2 linked regions of the Cricetulus griseus genome follow. The protein of the gene in region 2 purifies or fractionates together with the protein of the main gene of each other region. This does not show direct contact. Links are inferred from orthologs where the notes say so. Each region holds a gene or a part of one and is shown on either strand. Other genes may lie near its edges.

The links.
Region 1: the proteins of Stk38 (region 2) and Mob2 purify together in Homo sapiens (affinity purification with mass spectrometry; 7 studies listed by BioGRID and IntAct, with this or other methods). This does not show direct contact. The link is inferred for Cricetulus griseus from reciprocal best matches to the Homo sapiens genes STK38 and MOB2.

The regions. Positions count from the first base shown.
Region 1 is NC_048596.1:59,171,363-59,175,177, reverse strand, and holds part of Mob2 (MOB kinase activator 2), read right to left. Parts: intron 3,192-3,815; coding exon 3,031-3,191; intron 2,857-3,030; coding exon 2,763-2,856; intron 1-2,762. UniProt on the Homo sapiens protein: Stimulates the autophosphorylation and kinase activity of STK38 and STK38L.
Region 2 is NW_023276806.1:257,481,546-257,485,360, forward strand, and holds the end of Stk38 (serine/threonine-protein kinase 38), read right to left. Parts: intron 3,192-3,815; coding exon 3,097-3,191; intron 2,476-3,096; coding exon 2,348-2,475; 3' UTR 605-2,347; downstream 1-604. UniProt on the Homo sapiens protein: Serine/threonine-protein kinase that acts as a negative regulator of MAP3K1/2 signaling. Converts MAP3K2 from its phosphorylated form to its non-phosphorylated form and inhibits autophosphorylation of MAP3K2.

The sequences.
Region 1 (3,815 bases), on a different chromosome or scaffold from region 2:
GCCCTGTTTAAAGTTTTATAAGAGACAGAATTCTGCTATGCTGTCCAAGCTGGGGGTGATCAAGCCAGAGTGGCAGAGCTCCCATGGCCAGTACTCATGCCTTTCAAAAAGAGCTGTTTGTTGTTCATGAACCAAGAAGCTCTTCTTAGAACCACAAGATATACCAGTGCTGTTCAGTAACCTCCATTGCCGGCATTTGGTTATGGCAGTTCAGACTGATGATGGTGAGTGTTTCTCACAGGGAGGCTCAGACTTAGTTCTACAAGAATATGTTCATAAAAATCTCTTTGAAACTCTTATACTCACATAGTAGCAGCCATTCATCTGCTGGATTTACATTACCATTGCTGGTTTTCTGCTTGTTCTGTTTTTATCTTTATAATCCATGGTCATGCTGTATGTGGGGCTGTATCTCCCCACGCCCACTTTTTTAACTATTCCATTTCAATTTACCCATTATGGTTCTGACTGTGTGTTTTCATATCACTTAAAGAATTTCAAAGTACATACATAGCTTTTCATGTTCAGGGTTTCACAGCTGGGGAAAGGTGGTTACTAACAGGGAATAGGCACCTCTCCCCTCTCACTGCCATTGCTCACATGTCCCATCTCTGAACCTGAGAATGTGTCAAACCATACTTCATTTCACCCTCAAATAACTTCTGAGAGCTCCAGAGAAGAGTCTCTATTTCTCCTAATGCTGACTCTTTTGTGCTGTCACACAGCTGAAGAACTGGTTGGAATTCTTCTACAGTAGATCAGATACCATGCAGTGGTCCATTCAATTGTGCTTCTGAAGGGCATGGCTGCTGGATGTGAAATAATGTGGAGTAATGCCTCTTCTCTGTGCCATGTGAAACATGGAGTGCTTCTCCAAGTCCCACAGCACTCACTACCTTTGATGCCACAGGGCCTTTACTGTGCTTGGTGTCTGGGTTATTTCACAGGAGTCCTTAAGGGTTCACTCAGCTCTGTCAATTTAAAGGAGTGTCTCTGAGGGACATGTTTGACCATGTTTCTGAATGTGTCTTAGCTCCCTAGATCCCAATGCTGGCCTTTTGGGGTTATCCTGCAAGTGCTGCAAGAATAGAAATGAGACCTAGCCTAATGCAGATCCTCTCTAACCTAGGCAAACCTCCAGGGCTGGTACACAGCAAGGAGTTCTGTGGATATCTGACTAACCCACTTTTCCTTTTAAACTAATTTTGAGTTTCCAAAATCCCTTGGTCTCACATGATTCCTTCAAAGGGATTATAGTAGGAATTATTAAGTGATTCTGCAAAGTGAGCCAACGGCAAGCTTAGCTGCCCAGGCTCTCCAGCATGCACTGAATGCGGGTCTGCAACAACACTAGCTTCTATGCTCTCAAGAAAGCTTTTCCCTCGGGACCAGGCACTGGTGGCGCACGCCTTTAATCCCAGCACTCAGGAGGCAGAAGTAGGCGGATCTCTGTGAGTCTACAGAGTTCCAGGACAGGCTCCAAAACAATACAGAGAAACCCTGTCTCAACCTCCCCCCCCCAAAGAAAGCTTTTCCCAAACAAATTCAGCTCTAAGAGGCACATGGGAGAAGCTAGGAAGGGTACCATGCTGTTTGGTATTATCTAGGCTATGCACATGCTCTCATGTGCTACCTCAGAATCTGACATGGGTTTGTCCTTCAGAGGCCACACCTCTGTTAAACACACACACCGAGCTTGTCTATAGCAAGGCTTCTCACCTTCCCTGGCAATGATTAGCTGACACAGTCTCTTCCTGGGGAAGAGAACTGGCTCTGTTCTCCCTACATTGCCAGAAACTGAGCTATAGCCACTAGAGCTATGTGAGCAGGCCTGAGACATGGGGGACTCCTGTCACTTGCTGTACCAAGACTTACAGCAGACTCTTGAAAGCAGAGCTGTTGTCTGGGGAAATCTGTACCTACAAGGAGGACTGTTTGAGTGTACAACACACACACACACACACACACACACACACACGCGCGCGCGCGCGCGCGCGCTCATGTGCATACACATGTACATTTCCATGTGTTCACAGCATCTTGAGGAGTCATCATGGAAGATCTTCCACCTCCTTGGCCACATCCACCCTAGGCTGAGCCCTGCCAAACTCAGCCTTCTGCCTGCATTAGCACAGCCACTCCTACCATCAACCCAGAACTGCTGGCTTTCCTACGCACAAAGCAAGGTGAGTTATCTTGGAAACCCTAAAGTCACCTGCATTCTACAGCACTGAATGTACACATATATCCAGAAGATAGCTGTCAGCACTAGACTTGTTCAGAAGTTGTCAACAGACACCTCTACCAGTAGAATGAGCCTGCTCACTTAGCCTTGCAGCTCCTAGGACACTGAGCACTCTGCAGGCTCAGGGACCATCTAAGCATGGCCTGCCTTTGGCCTCTGATGGCTCTTAGTATCTTTTATGCCAGCAGAGACACTAATGCTGGGCACCTGCCTAGCCTGAGATTGTGCAGGGATTGTGGTTAAGAATGGAATCTAAGTCGGGCGTTGGTGGCACATGCCTTTAATCCCAGCACTCAGGAGGCAGAGACAGGCTGATCTCTGTGATTTCGAGGCCAGCCTGGTCTCCAGAGCGAGTGCCAGGATAGGCTCCAAAGCTACACAGAGAAACCCTGTCTCGAACCGCTCCCCCCCCCCAAAAAAAAAAGAATGGACTCTAAGAAGCTAGTAGCCAGAACAGAAGGTCAACCACAACCAATCCCACACTCCCAACTGGTGCTATGGCCAAGCTGCTACTCACGTGTTGCACACGGCCATTGTCTGACACGTCTCTCCTGTGCAAAATTCTGAGATTGTGCTATACTGCAGGTTGATGTGGTGAAAAAATGTTGTTGCTGGAAGAGAAGCAAAGGTCCAGGTGAGTAAACACCCCTGTTCCAGCTGGCGTGACAGGGAGTAGGTTCAGCTGAGTTCGGCCTGTCCATGGACCACTGCTCTAGGGGTACTTGGAGATGGGGGGAGGCTCCCTGCCCTGCAGCTGCTGCACCCGCCTCCCCACCCGCACGCACTGTTGCTGGCCAGCCACTCGTTGAGGTCGATCTCCCGGGGCAGCACTACCAGCTCCTTGAACTCAAAGTCGGTGATCCTGGACTTGGTGTGCTCTGGCTCCAGGTATACTTTCTTCTCCTCTGAAGCAGTTTTCTTGCCGTTTGGCTTGGCTTTAGACTTCCTGCCAAGAAAGAAAGGATGTCATGGATGACATGTCACATGTCCCATTTGAGCTGGAACCATGGGGGTCTGAGAAGGACCTGCAAATTGGGCTAATTACGTCAGATGCAGGCAAGGAGAGAGACCACCAAAGGCCAGACTGTTCAGGGCTATTGGGTAGCCAATCCAAATGGTCATGACTTTATAGACATCCTGGGAGAAAGTATTGTAGACCTGGGCTCTAAGATGTGTGTGACAGCAGGGGGCAGCACCTGATGCCTGAACCATAAACCTCTTTCAAAAGGCTGCTTTTCCAAGGTTCTTAAGAAAGTTCTGAATGTATAAGGAAGTGATTTAAGGTAATGAAAAACTGTTTCATATTTCTTTGCCCCTCTATGCTATTGTTATATTAATATTTCAAAGGTTCAAGAAACCTATACCAATGGGTCAACCAGACTACTGGAGACTACTCACCAGCAGGTTGCCAAAAGGAGATATTTATCCCTAGAACACCTAAATCAATTTCTAAAACATCTGTCCCCTGTGCTTGAGATTATTAGAGATTACTGTTGATAATGGCCAGAGACAGCCTTTATTGGTCCTTTATAGGAGACATGATGCATATTCAAAATGGGGAATCTTTTAT
Region 2 (3,815 bases):
TGAGTTTGATCCCCTGGACCCTTTTGGCTGACATAAAGAACCGACTGCTACAAGTTGTCTTGTGATCACCACACATAAAGTTGTGACACACAATAAATGATTTTTTTAAATAAATTAAACAAATATTTAGGACTGAGAAATACCACATTTTAAGTTTTAAATTCCTGGATGATCCAGTGACACCACCTGTCCAGCAAGTGTTTTGTCCGCACAGAGACAGATAGGAGGGGCCTCCATAGTCTCTCTCAATGAATAAATTCAGAAGACCAGCTCCAGACAGAAAGCATTTTGTATCAAGAGAACAGTGCAACAGTGCAATATCCATATCGCTGGACAAAAAGATCGGGCAGGGCCACCAGTGTTCTGCTTCCTTGGATTTCAGGTCACAGCTACTTTTTTTTTTTTTTTTTTGGTTTTTCGAGACAGGGTTTCTCTGTGTAGCTTTGGAGCCTATCCTGGCACTCGCTCTGGAGACCAGGCTGGCCTTGAACTCACAGAGATCCGCCTGCCTCTGCCTCCCGAGTGCTGGGATTAAAGGCACATGTCACCAAAACCCGGCCACAGCTACTTTCAATACGGCACGTGAAATAAAACCACAACCAAGTTCCACTACTGTTTTCACAGTTTATTCAAAAGTTGAATAGTTAAAATGTGGGCATTTCCCAGAACGAAGCATCCCCACCACAACGGGTCTACCACTACTCTGACTTCTCCATCCATGCTCACACACTCCTGCAAACACACAGGGTTCAGGACCCCAACTGTTTGGTAATACATAGCTCAAAGCCACCCACAGGCCCTTCTACCTCCTCTGCACCAGGCTCTAAATGACAGCTCAAGGAGCTAACACCGCCAGTGCCCTTACCCAGAGTCAAGACTTCCTAACATTCTGTTTTCTTTTCCTAAGACATGAAAACCAAAGTCATTTTGCTTACAGTTTTAAGTCTTCTATTCTCTGAATGGCTGAGCTAGGACATACCTGACCTTCACAGTGTCAAGACTGGCAGAGCGAGTCCCAGTCATAGGTTGGCCATGACACTGCGAGTTACCACACAGGTGCAAATAATGCTTCAGCAGTTACCAACACTTGAAACGAACTCTTAACAATGCATTAACATAGAACCTCCACATTTTCTAACGCAGCAAACATTTTCCAAAGGTGGCAGCAGCTGTGGCAGACAAGGCACTTTGTGCTAAATTCAGTGTTTCTCATGACAGAATGCCACAGCAGAGCCAAGGCAGCCCTAGTTGCAGGCAACCCTTTTGGGTGCAGGGGCAAGTATCCCCCAGGAAGGCATCTGCAAAGGAAAAATTTGTAATCATGATTCCAAGGCAAAATGGCTACTTAAAGTTGGGATCGGGAAATAGCAAGACAAACACAATTGCACCATGAGTTGGGTGTGAGCTGAGGACTACTCATCAGTGGGCTGGTCTGCCTTGACTTCCACGGAGGCTGGGAGGCTGGGAGATCTTGCATGGCAGCACCTGAGCCTCCCTGGGTTCTCTGCTGTGTTCTCAGGCACAAGCTGTCCTGTAGCACTGCCGGGCATTGCTGGTAGGCGCACGTGTGTGTCTCAAGATCGTCTCGTATAGAAAATGAGAGTTGCCACATGGTCCAGAGCTCCTTGGCAGTGCCCAGTGGCTGTGTGGGCTTTCGAACAGCAACAAAGGGTCACACTAGTGCCTCCCTACCAAAACAGGAGAGCAGCACGAGGCTTTGGGATGGGGAGATAGGTCAGTGGGTTTGGGGTCTTTGCCCTAGTACCATAAGTAAAGTGCACCATGAATGAAGGCTGTGGAAAGTCACTCGGGCAGGCTGAGGTATGGGGAGAAAACACCCACACCTGTAGAACGGAGGCCGTTCCTTCAGCCACACTGTTGGGTGTTCACACAGACTTTCATTATTGCGTTTTCTTTAACTACAGATTTTTCAGCTATAAAGAGAAAAGAAATACTTGGTGGGCTTGGCAGGTGGCATTTCACCACAACACAGGCATTGGCTGGTACTCAGTGTCTATAATCTCAGTAATGGCGGGCGATGGCTCTTTCCCCCCTTCATTCTGAGGAACTCAGGAGATTCAAATTCTCTTTGAAACACCTAGCAAACTGGCTCGTAGGGCTTCTAGAGAAGCAAGACAGCTGCTTATGGCCGAGGAGAAATGCTTGTCTTTGTCCTATCAGTTTCCTGGTGCAGTATGGAGGCACAGCCACTTACAATCACATTGCAGAGACTTGACTATGCGTGTTAACGGGTTCTACAAACTTCTTGGAAGTCTTTCAAGAGTGTGAGAGGAGAGCTGCAGTGCTGCACAGGGACCGCTGGCCAGTTAGGGCCCTCAGCACAGTCTTACTTTGCTGCCTTCATGTAGGAAGGGATGGCCCCCCTGGCCGTCAGCCCCTCAAAGCGCTTGTAGGTGTAATTGATGAAGACCCAGTCCTTGTTCTTGTAGTCACTCTCAGGGTGATTACTTGTCACTGGCAAAGAGACAGGTGAGACTGAGACACTGTCCTACCTCAAGGACAGCTCAGTCCCAGAGGCATGACACCCTGGAGAATACAGCGCAGCTCCCAATCGGGAAGGATTATTCTTCAATGTGCAAATTTTCTATTTTGCGCTGGGAGGTGTTGGCGCACGCCTTTAATCTCAGCACTTGGGAGGCAGAGGCAGGTGGATCTCTGTGAGTTTGAGGTCAGCCTGGTCTACAAGAGCAAGTGCCAGGACAGCCAGGGCTACACAGAGAAACCCTGTCTCAAAAAAACAAAACAAAAATTCTATTTTGCTTACCTATGTTCTCTGAATTTCCCATTTCTGAATAAATATTTTTAAAGTTTTATTTTTTTGCTCCTGTCATTTCAGTTTACCTGAGTTAGGTTTTGTGACATGCTTGGCCAGCTCAAAGTCTAGACACAGATTTGTACTCACTCACGTCCCATTTAGTAGTCTCACGCTACCCGACAGTACTGATAAACGCTTACAAGGGATCAGAAGTGCCCCTTCACATTCTGAGGAGCATCTGTAAATGTCACCCCAAAACGGCTGGGGAGGATGCAGCCCTGAGGCTGCAGAGGCGGGCGGGGGCAGAGGGCGGGGGTTACCTGTGGGTTTAAGAATATCCGACTCTGGGAATTCATCGAAGTTGGAGGTATCATCGATGCTCTTGATTTCAATAGATATCGCAGCCGGTCTCTCCCTGTAGGTATAGACATACCCAGTCACCAGACAGTATTCCCTCGGAGGACGCTGACCAAGTCTTTCTCAGAAGACCCTTCTGACATGGGAGGACTATTCACACCGACAGGCAGAATTTGTTTTCTCTGAATGCTAAATAAGCCAATTGGCTACATCTGAGCCAAATTATCATTAAAAATTGGTAACTCAGCCAGTACAATGGCACACCCTTTAATCCCAGCAACCAGGAGGAAGAGGCAGGTGAATCTCTTGTGAGTTCAAGGCCAGCCAGGTGTACCTAGTGAGTTTCAGGACAGCTGGGGCTGCACGGAGACCCTGTCACTTTTTTATTGTTCCGTCTTTTGAGACACAGTTTCTCTGTGTAGCCCTGGCTGTCCTGGACCTCACTCTGTAGACTACGCTGGTCTTAAATTCACAGAGATCCACCTGCCTCTGCCTCCTGAGTGCTGGGTTTAAAGGTGTGCGCCACCACTGCCCAGCTGAGACACTGTCTCAAAAAACAGCAAAACCCAACCAAACAAGCCTCCCATCAGAAGACAGGGAGCAGCTACAAACAAGCATCCCATCAGAAAACAGGGGAGCAGCTACAGCTCCAAGTGGACGCACCCACCCCTCAGAAGGGCTC